Linked DNA regions of Daphnia pulex. The protein of the gene in region 5 purifies or fractionates together with the protein of the main gene of each other region. This does not show direct contact. Links are inferred from orthologs where the notes say so. Each region holds a gene or a part of one and is shown on either strand. Other genes may lie near its edges. The genes, in order: splicing factor 45-like, U1 small nuclear ribonucleoprotein 70 kDa-like, small nuclear ribonucleoprotein Sm D2, splicing factor 3B subunit 6-like and splicing factor 3A subunit 3-like.

Region 1 (3,796 bases), on a different chromosome or scaffold from region 5:
TGCTCGCTCCATACCGTTCTCTGGGAAGGCACTAAATGGCAAGACGTGGGGATGCACCAGCTAGTGTCGCACACGGATGTCAAGAAAATGTATCGTAAGGCTTGCTTGGCAGTGCATCCAGACAAACAGGTTGGTAAAATTTATCACGTCATTTACATTTAGTAAGAAAAGTTGCCTTTAATTCGAATGTATTATCACACAGTCTGGAACTGACAACGAGAAAATAGCAAAAATGATTTTTATGGAACTGAACGACGCCTGGTCTGAATTTGAAAACGACGTAACACAGCAAAATATGTTTCGATAACAGATACATTCCTCCATTCTTCATAGTTTACGAGCGTTGATTGTTCTATTTACGTGTTTATAATTGTCTAGCATTGGGTTAACTCATACGAAACGCCCATGATCTAGTCGTAACTCGGAATCGATGTCTCTCCCTACCGTCCCAAGATTTCCTTTCAAATTCAGCTACAATAGCTTACATCACGTTTTTAGAACTTTTCCTCAGCCGCTTTTCTTCTTTCTTTTCCTTCTCCGTGATTTTAATTGTTCTCTTTCTGTTTCTTCTACGGAGAAGTCGTCTCGTTTTCTCTAACGAAGGCGGTAATCTCCGCCCGGCTTAAGTTTAATAGCTACCGGTTTTCAAGAAGTAATACACGTGTCTGCATCATTATTAATGATTCTTAAAAGAAGCGTTAAAGATTCGGTTAAATTCAGTTAATTTAAAAATAGTATTAAAATAATTATTGTTCGGTGCTACAGAAAGTTCAGATGCAAGATGTAGCCACGTTGAGTTTTATTGCAGAAAAACAGTGACTTCTCACAAACCAATTGTTGGAATTTGCGATATAAATAACTTTATTCTTTCTCGTCACTGATTCTTCGTCACAGACACCTCTTATAACAAGTCCGTCCGCTCGATAATATAGATACGCATACAATTAACGGCACACAACTGTGGCGACATTTGGAGGTGTCGTAACTCGTAAAAGGGCCGACCCAAAAATATTCCTGTCCCAAAACAATCAAAAATCAACGATATGCGCAAGGAGGCAATTTTTTGGGAGAAGCTCCGTATTTTCTATTCCGTATCCGAAAAGCAAGGTGTTTAATTGACAAAAAAACAATTCAATTATTTATAAGTAGAAACAGGGTAGTATCGCTGTATCTGTAGTGCCTGGCCACCCCTGGCCACCCCTGGGCCCTGGCCCTGCTGGGCCCTGGCATGCCCCTGCCCCCTGGTTCCTCACTGCAGATTTAGGTAGCTGTTTAGTAGTCACCTTCACCTTTCATGAGATGAATACATCAAAACATAAAAAAATACAGTACAATTTGCATTCGTCGTCTATTTTTATTTCTTGTGTATGTTACTGCGAAGGCGTCCTGAGCTCTGTTTAAAAACGATTTGAACGACAACTAATTCAACGGATATAAGAAATTACTTTGCTGTGAAAATGTCTCTTTACGATGATATCGACGAAAATAAAGCTAAATCTGTCACCGGATGGTCGTCAGGAATCAAGCTTTTACATTCGCAGATGCACTTAAAGAAAGCTATGATTACACAGGTATCCTACAATTTACATTTCATTTGTTACTCATAGATTATGAAGAAAGATTTGTTTTTCCTAGCCAAAACGTGAAGGTATCCGAAGAGCTATCCATCCTGTAATACCACCCTGCCTCACAGCTACTGAATCACAGATAAAAACTGAACCTGAAATGACCAAAAATCTGATTCATCAGACACCCCAACTCTTGACAACTATTGTTCCTAAACAAGAGAGATCCTCACTCTTTGCTGAATTGGAATGGGACCCAAATCTAGAGTATGATCCACTGCATCCTACTGACTATGACAAAATCATTAGGGGTACACAGCACCTTTTATAGAAAATGAAAAATCTGAATACAATAATTTTTGTTTTTTTTTTTGTTTTTTGTTTAGAGAGAAAGGAACGACGAGGGATTGAAATTGAAATAGAAGAAGCTGAAAAGAAAAGGAAGCCTAGGGATGATCGAGATATTAAAACCAGAGACAGGTATATAATGGGACTGGGAGCTGCCTAATAAATATGGTGATGATAGAAACTGATTACATAACCATTTCATGTTTTAGGTCCTCATCTGCTGTAGGATCAGGTTTTGCTGGACGTTTACATGATGAGGAAGAGGAACCAATGGTGAAGAAGTCCTCTACTTCTGGTGGAGTTGCCATTGCCCCACCTCCATCATTACAAGACAACTCATCGCCATCTCATCCTTCTCTCTCCTCTACTGGAAGTGGGGTTGGAGCTCTTGGTGTTGCTGCTAAGATCATGGCAAAATATGGATTCAAAGAAGGTCAGGGACTTGGACGACAACAGCAAGGTATTGCAGCTGCCTTACAAGTGGAAAAAACAAGCAAGCGAGGTGGACGTATTATCAATGAAAAAGAAATTATGCCTCCTCCGCCACCTGTTGTGTCGCCAACAGCTGCTCCCAAAGCGGAATTAACGATTGCTGATATCATGAAGAATCCTTCAAAAGTGATTTATCTGAGGGTAATGTCATAGGTCAATCATTTTCACGGTCCTCATTTCAAATTCTGTTGTTTGTTTGTTTCCCCTTTCATTAGAATATGGTTGGCCCTGGTGAAGTGGATTCTGATTTGGAACCCGAAGTACGCGAGGAATGTCAGACAAAATACGGGGATGTGAATAAAGTTGTTATTTTCGAGGTACCTAACGCCGAGGAAGAGGAAGCTGTACGGATTTTTGTTGAATTTAAACGAATGGAAGCTGCCATCAAAGGTAATTAACTACAGTTGAACAATAACACAGGTCTGTTAAAAATTGTTAACTGTCGTTTCTTTTTGTAGCCGTAATTGATCTCAACGGCCGATTCTTTGCTGGTCGGCAGGTGAAAGCCGGATTCTATGATGTGGAAAGATTTCTCAAGATGGAGCTGAATGATTGAACACGTATTGAAAAATAAATTTTACGAATCGAAAGTAATTGAATTTAATTACATGGTATGGCGTTGTTCCCAAAAGTTGGAAGCATTTGACCTTTAGGACGAAAAACCTTTCTCTCGTTCTAGGAAATAAGATTGATTCCTTAAAAGGGATGAAGAGAGATGAATTTAAACTACTACGAAGCAAAACAAATTCTAACTTCACAAGCTAGCGTGTCCTCGCAATATCACACCAGAACAAATAATTGAATTGCACAAAAATGTGTTGATCAAGCAAGGTTCTACATTCAAAGTGTAAAATAGATTTACTTTACTTTGATTTTCACGACTACATTCATTTTTCATCAAAAGGTAGATTCTACTTTTTAAAATTTGAGTTGTCAAGCGTAGCTGCAAATCAGTAATAGACTTCTAGTGGATGCTTAGAATTTAGTAATAAAAAAAGTATAGATTTGAATTCGGAAACTTGGCGGTAGGTTTCCATATATATATCCCGTTTCCAAATCATAAAAAATTTCATGAAAATTGGTTCTTTTCTTAAGTGTTTTTTAAGTGACATTCAGTAGGTTAAACCACTTTCATATAAAAATGAGGTTAATATTTTATAGGGGACGATCTATCGACGTTAACGTATTTTTTAAATAGTATAATCCGGTTTCCAAGAACCATGAGTATATGTAGTTCTTCGAAATAGCTACGCAAAGTGGGAACCTCTTCTTGCCTCAAAATTCCTATGATATCATAATGTTGAAAGAATTCTTCGTGAATCGTTCATGTCTCAACATGATCGAGAACAAGGTCAGCTGTCATTGCCATTATTATTGACCTCATATTTTGA
Region 2 (3,992 bases), on a different chromosome or scaffold from region 5:
ATCCAAATTATTCAGTTTAGGAGGTTTTCCCATCTAGGTATCTCGGGCAATCTGCCTTAGTAGAACTATGGAAACATGTTCACAGATTGTATGGTTCCATTTTTGGGTTTATTTTTGTGGGCGGACCGGCGGAGTGCTTGCGGTCACGTGATGATGGAAACTCGATTCAGAATCATGTCGTGTGTATCAGACTTTGCCGCGTTTTGTTTGTTTATTTTTTTGCATGTGCTAACGATAAAAAGGCCTATCCTTAAGCTGAGTTAAGCATGAAGGACGAAACAGTATGAGTTTTTTGGCGCAAAAAATTTAGCTAACTAAAGTAAAATTTTGTTATGGTCTTAAAGTAGAGAGCTAGAGACACCGTCTCAACTTTCAGACGATAAATACATCAAGATTAAAGACATTCCTAATCCTAAGAAACCATTAATTTCAATTAATTCAATAATTGAATTCTACGCCATCAAGAGGCCAAATAATATCGAACAGTTTTTTTTTACTTTGTTTTGGTTTGTCTGCAAGTAGAAGTTGAAATCCAAGCTGATTTTTGAAAACCACAATAACATTAACCGAACTTAACCGCATCAGCAATGTATTTAAGAAAAGGCCGAAAAGGCTTTGTAAGAAAGAAAGGAACTAATTTATTTATTTACCAATATTTGGGACTTGGATGTAATTGAAAGATGCTGTACAACTTGAATCTTTTGAGATGCAGTAATGAAATAAATCTTACCGTATAAAATATGTTTACCATATATTAAACCTTGTCAAAAATGCACGTAGAAATTCCCCCTTAGTCTCATTTGAAACCTAATTATGTCTATTTTTATGTAGTATTTATAGTTTTTTTTCCTTAAAGAGCATTAATTTAAATGTTATAAGTTACCTACTACCTACTTACTAGACTCCACTTTCAAGAAATTTAATGAAAAATATCAGCGCCAAACCCATTAAAATCCAATAAGCAATAAGCAACAAGCAAACTAAAGGGCCGGGGGTCTAGTATTACGATTATAATATTTAAAACAATATAAAAAGTAAAAACTGATACAAATTGGTTGGGGCCAAAACGCTGTTTTTGACTGTAGTGACTATTTACTTTTATATATGTCTGATTCTGATCTGGTATTGATTCGTCTGCTTTTTTAAATTTAGTTTTATTTCTAGTTGCCAAATATATATTTTGTTGCTAGCCTATTTACGGCTCAAAAAAAATTTATGAAATTGGTCAGATAAATTAGAAATTACAAAATCCCGCTGTTTTTCCTAAAATCTCAATCCCATCTCATCCCACAATACCCGTTTTTTAAAACGGGTATTTTCAATTTTAAAAACTTGAAAATTTCAAAAGTGGGAAAATCCCACCAAAGACCAAAGTGGCAGCCCTGCCGAGCAATAGATAGACAGTAATGGACTAATGGCCGACAGCTAAGACGCTCGACCGAGAAGCTTTTTGAAAGGTCCATGCTCATTGAAATATTTGTGAAATGACGCAGTTTTTGCCTCCAAATCTTTTGGCTCTTTTTGCGCCACGCGATCCCCCTCCATTTTTACCACCACCTGATAAATTGACTCATGAAAAAAAAAGAACGCCATACATTGGTATAGCGCAGTATACAAATCTGTTTGAGGTTAGTATTTGATTCCATTAAAAATTAAAAATTGATATAGTAGTCAAGGTAAGTATTGCAATTTGATCTAATTTGATTGATTTGGGAAGTAATGTATGTCTTAATTTACTAATGCACGGGTCCCAATCCCAATTTATGGAACAGTTTTGGTTCATTTATTCATTCTCCTCTAGATGTGTCGATGAGAATCCCAAGTTTTCATGTGTGACATGTGAGATGCAAAATATTTTGTGAAAATGTTGTGAAAGTGTCTTAATTTTCTGGAAGCACAGTGTTTCCAGCTGAGCCTTTTATCAGGTTGACAATTTAATGTTAGCATATGTCTGAGGGGTGTAAAGTAGTCATTGTTTCACAAAGTTTTAAATGAGAGATGTGGAACGAAACATTGCATACTAGAAGCATTCTGATGAACTAAGTACTGAGCTTTCAAACATAACGAAATTTTTAATATCATTTTATATTCTTAACAGGATCCTAAAGATACACCCCCTCCTACGCGAGCAGAAACACGGGATGAACGGCGCGAAAGAAAACGTCGCGAAAAGGCAGAACAAGTTGCCTATAAACTTGAACAGGAAATTGCAATGTGTAAGTTCTAATTTTTGGTGTGTTTCTACAATTTCTTTTATCAATTTCCCTTTTCTCTGGCATTCATAGGGGATCCACACAGTAATGGTGTTTCTACCATGGACCCCTTCAAAACGCTGTTCGTTGCTCGCATTGTAAGTGTCAATACTCATACTATAATTTTTTTTTCTCATCACTTTTATTTTATTTCGAGCTTAATGAATAATGAGTGCTAAGTTATAACTAGTAATCCGCATGAATGAAACGATAATTCTTGAAACATTTTCTCTCAGAATTTTGATACTTCGGAATCTAAATTGCGCAGGGAGTTTGAAGTGTACGGAGTTGTTCGGAAGGTAACTTACAAGCACCATGTGAAATTTAATCACACGCTTACCACGCTTTTTAATGTTACAGATTGTGTTGGTGCATGACAAGAGGACTAGTAAGCCACGCGGTTATGCATTCATCGAGTATGAACATGAGCGAGACATGCATTGTAAGTATTTCTTTTCTATTATACCTAAGTCGTGTGGTAACTGAGGGTAGTGGGCTAATTAGTAAGGCCTGCGATAGCTTTCACTGTTCAATTAATCGTCGCACCACCAATTTGTATGATGATGAAAGGGGTGGGGGTGAGGTGGGGAAAATCTGTGATTGATTTGTACCTTAAAGTTTTCCTATATTTCATTTTGTCGTTTCCGGTCACAGTCGCGGCCTCCGACTATTTGGACGGTCATGTGGCCTTTGTCGCTTTTTGTCTCTTGATGCTAGGTTTGTATGGTCAATTGGTAAGGTTTCGTTTGGTTAAAGTTAAACCAAAATCCCTTTGAAATCGACTGCAGGTTCAAATTAGCTTCAAAGAAAGTATCTTTTCGTTTTCACCCTCCCTTCCCCTTGATGGTAGTAAGTATCCTGGTAAGTCGGTTACTAGGCTTTCTAGCGCCACTAAAAATTAGGGCCATTTCAATTCGATCAGATTCTTCGAGTGCTGCTGCGCGTTAAGAGGATTCACAGGTAAAGATGGGGACAGCTTGAAGAGGGAATGGATCTGCTTCTGTGATTGGCAACATTTGATCGCTTATTAATAGATCTGGATGTTACGTGAACATAGCCGTAATCTGGTAAACGGCCGTGGCGTTGGTTTTTTATGCATTTTCCAAGTGTTATGATTGGTCATACTTGAAATCATTGCATTTTTCGTTATTTGTTAATTCACGGTAAATATTTTTCGAAATTGCTGGGAGGGGTAGGTAATGGAGATCCTTCGGTAGGTGATATTAGGTTTGTGATACTAATTGTTGGAACTCTCCTTCTCCATGTTATACACGCTGAATTTTTCGTCTTCTCTGCCTGCTGTACTACCCGTATTTACGATTTGTTCGTTTTGCCGACGGCGCCGAAATACTGGTTTGTTGTTTTAAAATACCAGCTGCGTACAAACACGCCGACGGAAAGAAAATAGACGGCCGCAGAGTTCTTGTAGACGTAGAAAGGGCAAGGACTGTCAAAGGTAATTATTTTAATTAAATAAGTTTTATGTTTATAGTTTGCTGCCCTTTTTTTCGAAGGCAAATTTTAAAATTTGTTTTGAAAATCCATAGGTTTTTTATTTTGATTAATCAGTGTAAATAAGTGCACAAAATTTTTTTCTTCTTGTTAGATATTATAATCATGCCGCCATGGTTTCTAAGTACCTAAACTATTGCATTCCAGGTTGGCTTCCTCGCCGTTTGGGTGGAGGCTTGGGTGGGACTCGTCGTGGAGGACCAGATGTAAACGTAAAACATTCAGGAC
Region 3 (2,822 bases), on a different chromosome or scaffold from region 5:
TCATTGCATATGATGAAGAATTGGGGCCTGCTGTATACAAAGCTGACCCAGCAGGTATATATCTAAAATAGGGTGTAAAGTTCTCAAATTGTATGCTTTATTGCTGTTTTACTTTTTTTTCAAGGATATTACTGTGGTTATCGTGCTACTTCAGTGGGTGTTAAACAAACCGAGGCATCGTCGTATCTTGAGAAGAAATACAAAAAGAAACAAAACTACACACATGATGAAGTTATCCAGCTTGCTATTACAACTCTGTCTCATATCCTAACTGCTGATTTCAAGCCATCTGATATTGAAATTGGAGTTGTTTCTAAGGATCAACCAGGATTTAGGTAAGAAAATGCGCAAAATATTTAAGTTTAGGAAATTAATGTGACTGATCTGATTGTTATAGAATTCTGTCGGAAACTGACATCGATAAGCATCTGACTGCAATTGCCGAAAAAGATTAAGTTTGATTTTGTAACTTTTTCTTTCAACATTGGAATAAAACGAGATAATAAAACACATTTTCCGCTGTTCGATTTTTTTATTTCATACAAAAGTGAGAGATAAACACATACAATTATTTTGCTCCAGGAGTACCAGCCAAAGGATTTCTTAATACTAATATTACAGAATCTCCACGTAGGAACATTTTGGAGATAAAACGGTCCTTGTTGACTGGTTTGCTCTATAAAATAAATATACAACTGTCACTGTTGATAGATGAATGAATGAATGCAGAAATAGTGAAAATTACCTTCTTCTTTCCTTTCCCTGTTCTGGGAACTTCAGTCCACATTTCCTTGACATTTTCTAGAACCATATTGCAGTGACGGTCAAAAGCTTTAACACGTCCCAGTAGCTTTTTGTTGTTACGGCAGTTGATCAAGACCTGAGTGTTGTTTTTTACACTCTGAGTCAAAACTGAAAGTGGTCCAGTGTTGAATTCTTCTTCTTCCCGTTTGGCCAATTCCTCCGGTGTCATCTCCGACTTGGGTTTATTTGCAACAGCCCTATGGAAAGAAACATTTATTATTTAGTGCTCATACGAAACTGTCAAGTAGAGAAAAATCTGCAGACACGGAACACTGTAACTAGCTGAAAATATAGATTTAAAAATTTTCTATTTTGAAATTGAACTTAAGCTTTACTTACGCCATGATAAATAGAAGGATGTAAACGGATAGAGAAATATTCTTTGGAATATTTTTGAGCCCGGCTTCGTTTAACTTTTCAAACCGTTATTCACTTGTTTTTCGTAAACAAAACGTACATGCTGCGTTGTCATATTGTATTAATTAGCATTAGACGGTTGATGCTATTTTATGTCTTATTTGCGATTTAATTGCCAAAAATTGTTTTTTAATGTTGACTTACATTTTTAAGAGACACGTTTCAATTTCTAATAATTGTTGTGAAAAGAAAAGAATGAAATTTGCCAAGAAAAACATTTACAATCCCAGACGTCAGACGTCTGGGACTCTGTACTGGAATTCGTTTTAGTCGAGAGGAAAGGAAATACAAACCTCAGAAAGTAGAGTCAAGAGAAAACCGAAGCGGTTGACAATTGTCAGCCGACAGATGTTATGTTATGTAGCATAGCTTGTCTAATGCCATATATGGACATATTCCCCCCGTATGCACAGACTATTCTTTCTCATGGTCCCCAATGGAGAACGCTTTCCAGCGTTGTTGATAAGTCATCCTGAAACGGCGAAAACTTTCGAATCACGCTGTTATCGGCTGTTCATTGTGCGAAGGCGATCTATGGCAATTGAAACTTTTTGGTCTAAATTATAGAAACAGAGAAAGTTGTCGACACCGGTCCCGAGAGTTTCAGATTTTTAATACATAGGGGAGGGGAGGGCAGATTAGAGGGAGGGGAAGTAAAAATGTGAGTCATCGATGTCTGCCCATAAAAGGTCATCCTCCCCGAGAAACTGAATGAAAGAATAAGTGTGCAACTGGCCCAATAATTTTTTTTTTTCGTTAAAACACTCATGCGAGATGCACACCATTTATTAGGAAGTCGGAATGATCATTTAGAGTCGGCAACTTTTTGCTCAAGCAGAAAAATCTGCGAGTAGAGGATTTTACAGAAAAAGTTACTTTTCGTAACTCTCTCCAGGTTTGTGGTTTGGGCTCCCCTTTTTCGGGTTAACAAGCGCCCGATATGGACAACCAATCAGAGAATGTGCAACCAGTACACACAAAATTCTCTACAATCGGCATCATCCTTCAATCGCTAAGCAAGCAGAGACCCCTGGCGGTTACCCGAATTCATTTAACGACATTTGAGATTTTACATAACAGCAAACAGAATAAGAGTCATACAAATTATTTTTAAAATGATAAATGATGCGCCTATCATTATATGTTTTATTTGTGATAAATTAGTGAAGTTTGTAATATGGTTCGAAATAGGCATCGTTTGACGGCGCTGTATTCCACCCCCAGATGACGCGCTTTTCTGGGTGTGGACTGGGTAGCGCCAAGTTTTCTCAAGTTTGGGGAACAGCCGCCATTTTGCAGTGCGAGGTCCCGGCCGGTGTAGAGAAGTCTACTCTGAGTTTCCCCTCTTCTTTCGCCGCGCCACGAGTAAAATCTTATCGAGGGCATTTTCTCTCTCTCTCTCTCACTCGCACCACTCACTCCCCCCAGTGCCGTCTCATCCCGCAGTCATTCGGGTTGATCTTTCAGTTTAGGCGTCTTTGAGCTTTGCGTGAAATTTTTCTAGACTTTTTTCTTAGTCCAAAATGGTGAGTAACGTTGATATTGTCATGTCGTTAGAAATGTGTTTGCTGTATACGTGTGGAATTCTTCCAATTTCTGTC
Region 4 (2,716 bases), on a different chromosome or scaffold from region 5:
ACTTGGATCTGTTTTAGCAGTTTCGTGGTTCTTATTTACGCAATTCGCTCTAACGCCGTGGTTCCCAACTGTTGCATCATGGTTAGTTTTCCTCAAAAGTGTTTCCATGCCGATAACATGCAATATTCATTGTTATTTCTTAGGAGAGTGTGTGAATGGCTATTGGTGAGAGATCAAACATTAATCCCTAACATTATCTGGTTTGAATATACATCTCACCGGAGCGAATCAAAGCACAGAAGTCGAAAATTGGTCTCCATGAAGTCCCAGTAAAACTGGCTTGAAAATAATTTTGTGTTCAGTAGCTGCAGTGCAATTGTTTGTCTGTTTACTGTGCCTACAAATCTGTTATTCTTGAAAGCCGGATATTTCGTGAATATTCTTTTTAGAAAAAACATTTTTGAGTTGTAATAACTCGTGCAAATCATATTTGATATTCCATTACAATGGAATACCTCACAATTACACTGGTTGGAAAAGGGTCAATACTGGTTACAATTCACATAGTGAAAATGGTTTTTTTATTATACCAAATTGTACAATGAGAAATGAGGTCAATTTACATGTTATTCATCATTCAATCCAAATTTAGCCTTCATGCTTTCTATCTCTTCTTTCTTCTTGTCTGTGTCAACCTTTTTGAAGGCCTTTGTAGGTTGATAATAGAGTACTACAAGGTAACGATTGCAGACATTAAAACCAGAAAGATGATCACAAGCATTTTTTGCATCAAAAATGTCTTCATAGACCACAAAAGCTGTTCCTCTGGTTTCTGGAGTGTTCCCTCTATCAAATCAAATGAGTTACAATTGATGCTAACATATATTATCAATTTCTACTTACACTCTGATTTGCCGAATAGCTCCGTATTTTCCAAAGATATCATACATTTCTTCTGATGTAATTTTATAGGGAAGATTTCGGACATATAGGATTCTGTTTACTTCAGGAGGTAACCTCACCTGAAAAATAAAAATATTTAAGAAATGCTCACATGGAAATCTTGATGCACAACAATCTTGACTCAATATAATAAACTACTAATGATAAAAAAAAATTAACACATGATTGCATACGTTTAGCTTTTTCTGCATTGCCATCGCCATTGTTAGGAGTAAAATTCAGTTAAAACAACGAAATCACTGATCAATACAATTCAAAACTGTGCTCGTGAACTTGACAATAAGAACGCCGCTTGGTATTCAAAATGGCTGCATAGCAGACGACGATTCTGAGCTGACAGAATAAACAAAACATTATTTTCGTGTAATTCAATTAATTGGTTTTATGCACTAGAAAATTTGATTCAAATTAAATACTAAAAAAATGTATATATATCTCATAAAAATCTTTTCCTAGCTCAATTTACTCTTCACATTTTAATATTTTGGCAATGCTGATGTTTTAGCAGACGAATTTGTGTCAAATGAGGAATAGCATACTCAAATAAGAGAAAAGGAAAGGGGAAAAGTTTCCACATCGTACGACCCGAATTCCTTTTTCTATTGGTTCGAATATCAAGATATGATGCAGATGGCCACTATTCGAGTCGCGTAAACTGAACTGATTCGCTACTTCCGATATCAATTAAATAAAGGGATTTTTAAGCTTCATCCGGTGCTGTGCATACAATAAAGAATTGCTGGGATATAACTAAAGAAAGCACATTGAAATTCTGCACATTAACAGATGTCTTCTGATCACGAAACACAATATGGTCGCACAATGGATAGTGTAGAAAACAGGGTAACAAATGGCCATGATTCAAGTTCCACAGTTGTTCATTCTCGTAAGTATTGTTATTTTTAATCAATTAGTTGTGATAATAAACAATTATTTTTATTCTACAGCTAGCATGCCCTGGTTTGGAATGGATATAGGTGGAACTTTAGTTAAATTAGTGTATTTTGAACCAACTGACATTGCTCCTGAGGAAGAGAATGTAAGTTCGTCAGAAATTGAAACCTTACACAACATTCAAAAGTATCTCACTAGTAACAATGCTTATGGAGAGACAGGGCACCGAGACATTCATCTGCAGGTGTTTACATCTTCTAATCTTTCCTATTTTATCAGAAATTGATTTCAGTATAATTTTCAAATTTCAGATGAGTTCAATTCCAATGGGAAACAGAGTAGGAACATTACATTTCATCAGATTTCCTACCTCTGAAATGGAGCAATTTCTGCAGCTAGCAAAATCTAAAGGATTTGCCTCTCTGTCCACAACCATTTGTGCCACAGGTGGAGGTGCATACAAGTTTGAAAAAGACTTTTTAAGGGTTTGTACACTTTATGCAGCTTTGATTTCTTTTTCTTTTTTCTTATCTTGTTATACGGTTGTCTGTAGGCTGTTAATTTAAATCTACATAAATCGGACGAACTGGAATCCCTTATCGGTGGGCTCTTGTACATTGAAGAAATTCATCGTCCCGAGGTTTATTATTGGGAAAATCCAACTGACGAAACTAAGTGCGTAAAAAAAACATATGACTTCAAGAACCCATATCCGTTTTTGGTAATTCCATCATTTAAAAACTTTATTAACAAACAAATGACTTTAATTCTGTTGTTGTTACTTTCATCTGATTTTATTTTCTAGCTAGTAAATATTGGTTCAGGTGTGAGTATACTTGCTGTGTATGGCCCAAATAATTTCAAACGAGTCACCGGTACCAGGTAAAACAACGCATAGAAAACCAAAAAAAAAACTCTC
Region 5 (3,927 bases):
ACAGCCATTTCGATATTTCAAATACAGATGTTATCAATTAAAGACAAATTCAATTATAAGCAAGTGATTAAAGCTTGGGGTGCCTTTTCAATATCGTGATTGCTCAGAGGTTTTAAATATTTGTTATAAGATGACTGTTTAAAATTCGAATATGATTAAGATTACATACCTATAGTAAGGTGGTATATACTTTAAGTGTGTTAAAATGCAAGTATACTAAAAGTAGCTGATCGATGAGGATATCGACGGAAATCAGTGACACATAAGCATTAATCCATATTCTTTTTCTCGACATGTCGATGAGCTGGGAATTGAGACGAATGACGAAAAACTCCATCTGAGCAAAGTTTTGTGATGGGAAGATGATTCAGTAATACAAGTTGACAACAAAGTGATAAATCGAAACATAGATTAAGATTACCAATATTACAGTGACACTCGACAACAACCAAGGAGCTTGCGCTTCCTCTGTGCAAATGTGATGGAATAAAAATATAACCGCGCACGAAGTTATAAGATTTATTTTTCCAGTCATGTTTCTTTACAAGAGACCCTGTCGACGCAAATCTTCGTACGTTTTCTTGGGGATGACGTTGCCCATCGAGTCCTCGTACTCTTCCTCGTGATCGGCGACGAAACGTTCTGACGTTTTCTGGCTTCTCAATTTTGTCCAAACTGAAGTTTCAATTAGAATTTTATTATTAATCGGTAGGGGACAGGAAAAACAAAAATAAACTGAAAGCTTACGTGAAATTGCATCTTCGATTCGTGTTACGTTAGCAAAGTGGGCCGTGTTGGGAATACCCAGACACCGCATGCCGTGAGCGTGACGCCATTCGGCAAAATGACGTTGAAACGCCTTTGGACCTTTGTACGTGTAATTGCCGCAAATCTCGCAATTGTAGCTGATGTTCAAGCCGTGCAATTTGTAAAGCCAATATGGAATGGGCTGGATAAGAGATGAATCGATAAGATTAGAACAAAGTTACACAATTATTAATGTTGGTTCATTTATACCTTTCCATCCCAACCTAGTGGTAAATTCTTGGGATTGTAAGGGACGTCATCGTCTTCATCTTCATCCTCGGGGACCTGAAAATGGCAGTTGAGAATTTAAAGTTTAAGGAAATATGTCAAAGTAATTAAGTTATACCTCGACAACGTCTTCTTCTTCCTCCTCTCGTTCCCCATCTGTTCGGGCCTGTTTACGTTCCACGTTCTCTTTGGTAGCATGCCGTGGTTCAGACAAGATCTCAATCAGTCTATGAATTATTCACAATTAATTATTCATTCAATTTCATTCAATAATTTAAATGGAATTACTTATAAACTTGAGCCTCCAGAAGGGCAATCTTCTTTTGTTTTTCGGCTTCCTTATCTTGTTCGGTAGCACCTCGATTTTTACCCTGGCCTTTGGCGAAGAGAGATTTGTCAATTTCATCTACCGACAGACCTTTTGTACTGAAGAGTCTTTTGGCACGGTCTTCGAGTGTTCCACCGCACTTGAGACCCAAAGCTATCAATGCTGATTTCAAACGATCCAGTCCTAGAGATGCCAATTCCTCACAAGATGAAAAGGCTGAAATATCCAACGCCGCACCTGCGTTTGCCAAAGCACTTCCGGTTGTTTCTTTCTATAAATTTGCCAGCGTTAGTTAGGTTGGACAGAAAATAGAAACAGTCGTAAATAGACTTACCGGCCATCCAGGAAATGTACCCGCTACAAAGTCCTTTTCGAAATCTTGTTCGATTTCATGAAACAAGTTGTCAAGGTCCATGACTGGTTTTACTCGAGCAACATAATCGACTAAATAATCCACCAATGCTTGTAGATAGTTTCTGTATTCAGCGTTCTTCTTCTCCCGGGGAATATCAAAGAGACGGTCAAACATATTAAGGTAGCTAATGTAGTCAATTTTCTGTAAGAAATATAACTGTGTTAATTTTTTTCGATTTGTTTCTTGTTTCAATCTATAAACTGACCTGAATTCCTTTTAAATTTGTGTATTTCACATAGCTTTCATGAAGATCCAAATATTTGCCATAGCCCTCCTCATCGGTAAAGTCAACCAAATCTGAAAATCAAATTACATTAGCTTTATATGACTGTGCTTTCTGTCAGATATAACCTACTATTTGTTTCGTCAGCTCCACTCTCTCTCTGTTTGGCAAACTCATCAAATTCCATGGACATTGGTACAGCAATCTGTGAAACAAAACCAACTGCTATTGAATGACACTTAAAGAAAATGAATGTGTTTTATACCTCATTTGGATGTTTTTTGTAAAATTCCTTGATCTGTTTTAGTCTGTTGTAAAATTCCACAAATTCATTTGGTCCAGAGAGCAGTGCCACCTCCTCTTTGCGCTGTCCGTCCTTGTCTTCATAGATCTCTTTCAAAACTCTTGTACTCTCCATATACCTCTACAGTTATCAAAATACGACATTAAGAGTTGTTTGTTCAATTGTATGAGCCAAAGTTTACATACGTCAAGCAAAATTTTCTGACGGTGTTCCGAGTTGATTATCTCCCTTTGAGTGGTCTTTTTGAAGATTGTTTCCTTGACCATGGAGTCGATGATACGCTCTTTTTCTTCATGATATCTCCTCTGCTGCTCTAGCAAAGTCTCCATTGGTTTTAATGAATTGAATTGTATGATAAAATAAAAAAATTTAAACAAGCCGGCAATAAACGAGCAAAAATCACAATGCTTGGGCTTGGAAAACAAACTGGTGGCCGTTGTAAGAACTAAAGTATTCTATCGATTTTTTGCAAAAACTATTTTCACTTTTTTAATTATAATGTTTTTAATTATTAAAATGGTACAATTCGTTAAAATAAAAGAATATATTGTCTAAATTTAAATTTGATGATTTGTTACTCATTTCATGTTTACAAGACTGTAAAGTGTAAACCCCTTAAAATTAAATTTTGATTCATTTACCTTCTCAATATACACAGCTTAATAAATTTTCTAGCTTAATTAAAAATTTTAATTTATTCCTAATCATTAAAAACCAATTTCATTCATTGCATTCCAAGAAAATGTGAGCATTTTTTTGCTGTCAGGACTCAGGACGGTAATGTTTCCTAGTGTCGCCAGAGGGATGGAGCGAAGTCTTTGAAAATCGAAATAAAAAGAAAAAAGAAAAAAAAGCTGAGCTAAGCTATTGGTAGCCATATTGCAGAAGAGCGAAGAGGGGAGGTATACTGAGGGCCAACAACGGTCGAGAGCCGCCGCCGATTCAGTGCGTTATAAGTGGCTGTCACCCGAGAGAGTGGTTTTCACGTATACGCAACAGTACTTATTTCTGTTTTATTCTTTTACATTTAATCTGATTAACATTTTTTAGTGTATATCCACACATCCAAACCGAAAAGAACTTGATGTTTGTTTATCAGGTGGCCGTCGTTCAAACAATAGGCGTGGTGTGTGTGTGTGTTTCTTGAGTTGTGTTTGGTGTGTTCGCCATTGGGAATCGTGAAAAATCGAAAAACGATTCGGCCTCTTGACTCGAGTGTTTGCCCTAAGCATTCCCCCCTCCCTTATTTTCATCCTTTCCCTATCAATGACACTCAAGGCTCATGTTGAAATACAGGTGTCTGAATGAATGCTCATCTCTCTGGGTTTGGAAATAATGTACGGGCCAGCCATGACATCACCATTCCTTCCTTGTATTCTTTCCATTCAACCGTAATTTATTTTTTCTCCTCTTGACATTTCAAAAGGAATGTCTTGGTTTTCGATCAACCCTGATGCATTCGCTAAACTGTGACGGCACCCTGCCAAATGGACAGGATGTGTTGGGAAGTCACTCTGGCCTTTCGACAACTCACATATACATATAGAATCCCATCACTCTAGCTATGTGCCCACATGCTGACCATCTGTGTACTTTAGATTTTGTTGACCATATGCTATTGA

The links.
Region 1: the proteins of splicing factor 3A subunit 3-like (region 5) and splicing factor 45-like purify together in Homo sapiens (affinity purification with mass spectrometry; 4 studies listed by BioGRID and IntAct, counting the BioPlex papers as one, with this or other methods). This does not show direct contact. The link is inferred for Daphnia pulex from reciprocal best matches to the Homo sapiens genes SF3A3 and RBM17.
Region 2: the proteins of splicing factor 3A subunit 3-like (region 5) and U1 small nuclear ribonucleoprotein 70 kDa-like fractionate together in Homo sapiens (co-fractionation; 3 studies listed by BioGRID). This does not show direct contact. The link is inferred for Daphnia pulex from reciprocal best matches to the Homo sapiens genes SF3A3 and SNRNP70.
Region 3: the proteins of splicing factor 3A subunit 3-like (region 5) and small nuclear ribonucleoprotein Sm D2 fractionate together in Homo sapiens (co-fractionation; 3 studies listed by BioGRID and IntAct, with this or other methods). This does not show direct contact. The link is inferred for Daphnia pulex from reciprocal best matches to the Homo sapiens genes SF3A3 and SNRPD2.
Region 4: the proteins of splicing factor 3A subunit 3-like (region 5) and splicing factor 3B subunit 6-like purify together in Homo sapiens (affinity purification with mass spectrometry; 3 studies listed by BioGRID and IntAct, with this or other methods). This does not show direct contact. The link is inferred for Daphnia pulex from reciprocal best matches to the Homo sapiens genes SF3A3 and SF3B6.

Annotation. Positions count from the first base shown.
Region 1 is NC_060018.1:8,645,034-8,648,829, forward strand, and holds splicing factor 45-like, read left to right. Parts: upstream 1-1,256; 5' UTR 1,257-1,457; coding exon 1,458-1,571; intron 1,572-1,635; coding exon 1,636-1,876; intron 1,877-1,951; coding exon 1,952-2,045; intron 2,046-2,122; coding exon 2,123-2,546; intron 2,547-2,620; coding exon 2,621-2,795; intron 2,796-2,863; coding exon 2,864-2,961; 3' UTR 2,962-2,995; exon of another isoform or gene 2,996-3,084; 3' UTR 3,085-3,277; downstream 3,278-3,796. Other genes in the region: cyclin-G-associated kinase-like, read left to right, coding at 1-129, 203-307. UniProt on the Homo sapiens protein: Splice factor that binds to the single-stranded 3'AG at the exon/intron border and promotes its utilization in the second catalytic step. Involved in the regulation of alternative splicing and the utilization of cryptic splice sites.
Region 2 is NC_060026.1:6,141,064-6,145,055, reverse strand, and holds the start of U1 small nuclear ribonucleoprotein 70 kDa-like, read left to right. Parts: upstream 1-1,192; 5' UTR 1,193-1,484; coding exon 1,485-1,628; intron 1,629-2,098; coding exon 2,099-2,216; intron 2,217-2,285; coding exon 2,286-2,350; intron 2,351-2,488; coding exon 2,489-2,551; intron 2,552-2,612; coding exon 2,613-2,694; intron 2,695-3,627; coding exon 3,628-3,708; intron 3,709-3,911; coding exon 3,912-3,992. UniProt on the Homo sapiens protein: Component of the spliceosomal U1 snRNP, which is essential for recognition of the pre-mRNA 5' splice-site and the subsequent assembly of the spliceosome. SNRNP70 binds to the loop I region of U1-snRNA.
Region 3 is NC_060018.1:305,172-307,993, reverse strand, and holds small nuclear ribonucleoprotein Sm D2, read right to left. Parts: upstream 1,537-2,822; 5' UTR 1,366-1,536; intron 1,297-1,365; exon of another isoform or gene 1,265-1,296; 5' UTR 1,149-1,264; coding exon 1,144-1,148; intron 1,002-1,143; coding exon 746-1,001; intron 677-745; coding exon 569-676; 3' UTR 513-568; downstream 1-512. Other genes in the region: proteasome subunit alpha type-6-like, read left to right, coding at 1-54, 125-335, 398-455; cofilin/actin-depolymerizing factor homolog, read left to right, coding at 2,745-2,747. UniProt on the Homo sapiens protein: Plays a role in pre-mRNA splicing as a core component of the spliceosomal U1, U2, U4 and U5 small nuclear ribonucleoproteins (snRNPs), the building blocks of the spliceosome.
Region 4 is NC_060019.1:12,853,522-12,856,237, forward strand, and holds splicing factor 3B subunit 6-like, read right to left. Parts: upstream 1,237-2,716; 5' UTR 1,107-1,236; coding exon 1,077-1,106; intron 963-1,076; coding exon 844-962; intron 787-843; coding exon 567-786; 3' UTR 505-566; downstream 1-504. Other genes in the region: dolichyldiphosphatase 1-like, read left to right, coding at 1-81, 144-273; pantothenate kinase 3-like, read left to right, coding at 1,690-1,789, 1,851-2,041, 2,109-2,282, 2,351-2,518, 2,603-2,679.
Region 5 is NC_060028.1:1,228,139-1,232,065, reverse strand, and holds splicing factor 3A subunit 3-like, read right to left. Parts: upstream 2,748-3,927; 5' UTR 2,635-2,747; coding exon 2,491-2,634; intron 2,426-2,490; coding exon 2,267-2,425; intron 2,207-2,266; coding exon 2,134-2,206; intron 2,076-2,133; coding exon 1,984-2,075; intron 1,920-1,983; coding exon 1,698-1,919; intron 1,635-1,697; coding exon 1,324-1,634; intron 1,263-1,323; coding exon 1,154-1,262; intron 1,093-1,153; coding exon 1,018-1,092; intron 950-1,017; coding exon 748-949; intron 676-747; coding exon 542-675; 3' UTR 504-541; downstream 1-503. Other genes in the region: moesin/ezrin/radixin homolog 1-like, read left to right, coding at 3,390-3,431. UniProt on the Homo sapiens protein: Component of the 17S U2 SnRNP complex of the spliceosome, a large ribonucleoprotein complex that removes introns from transcribed pre-mRNAs.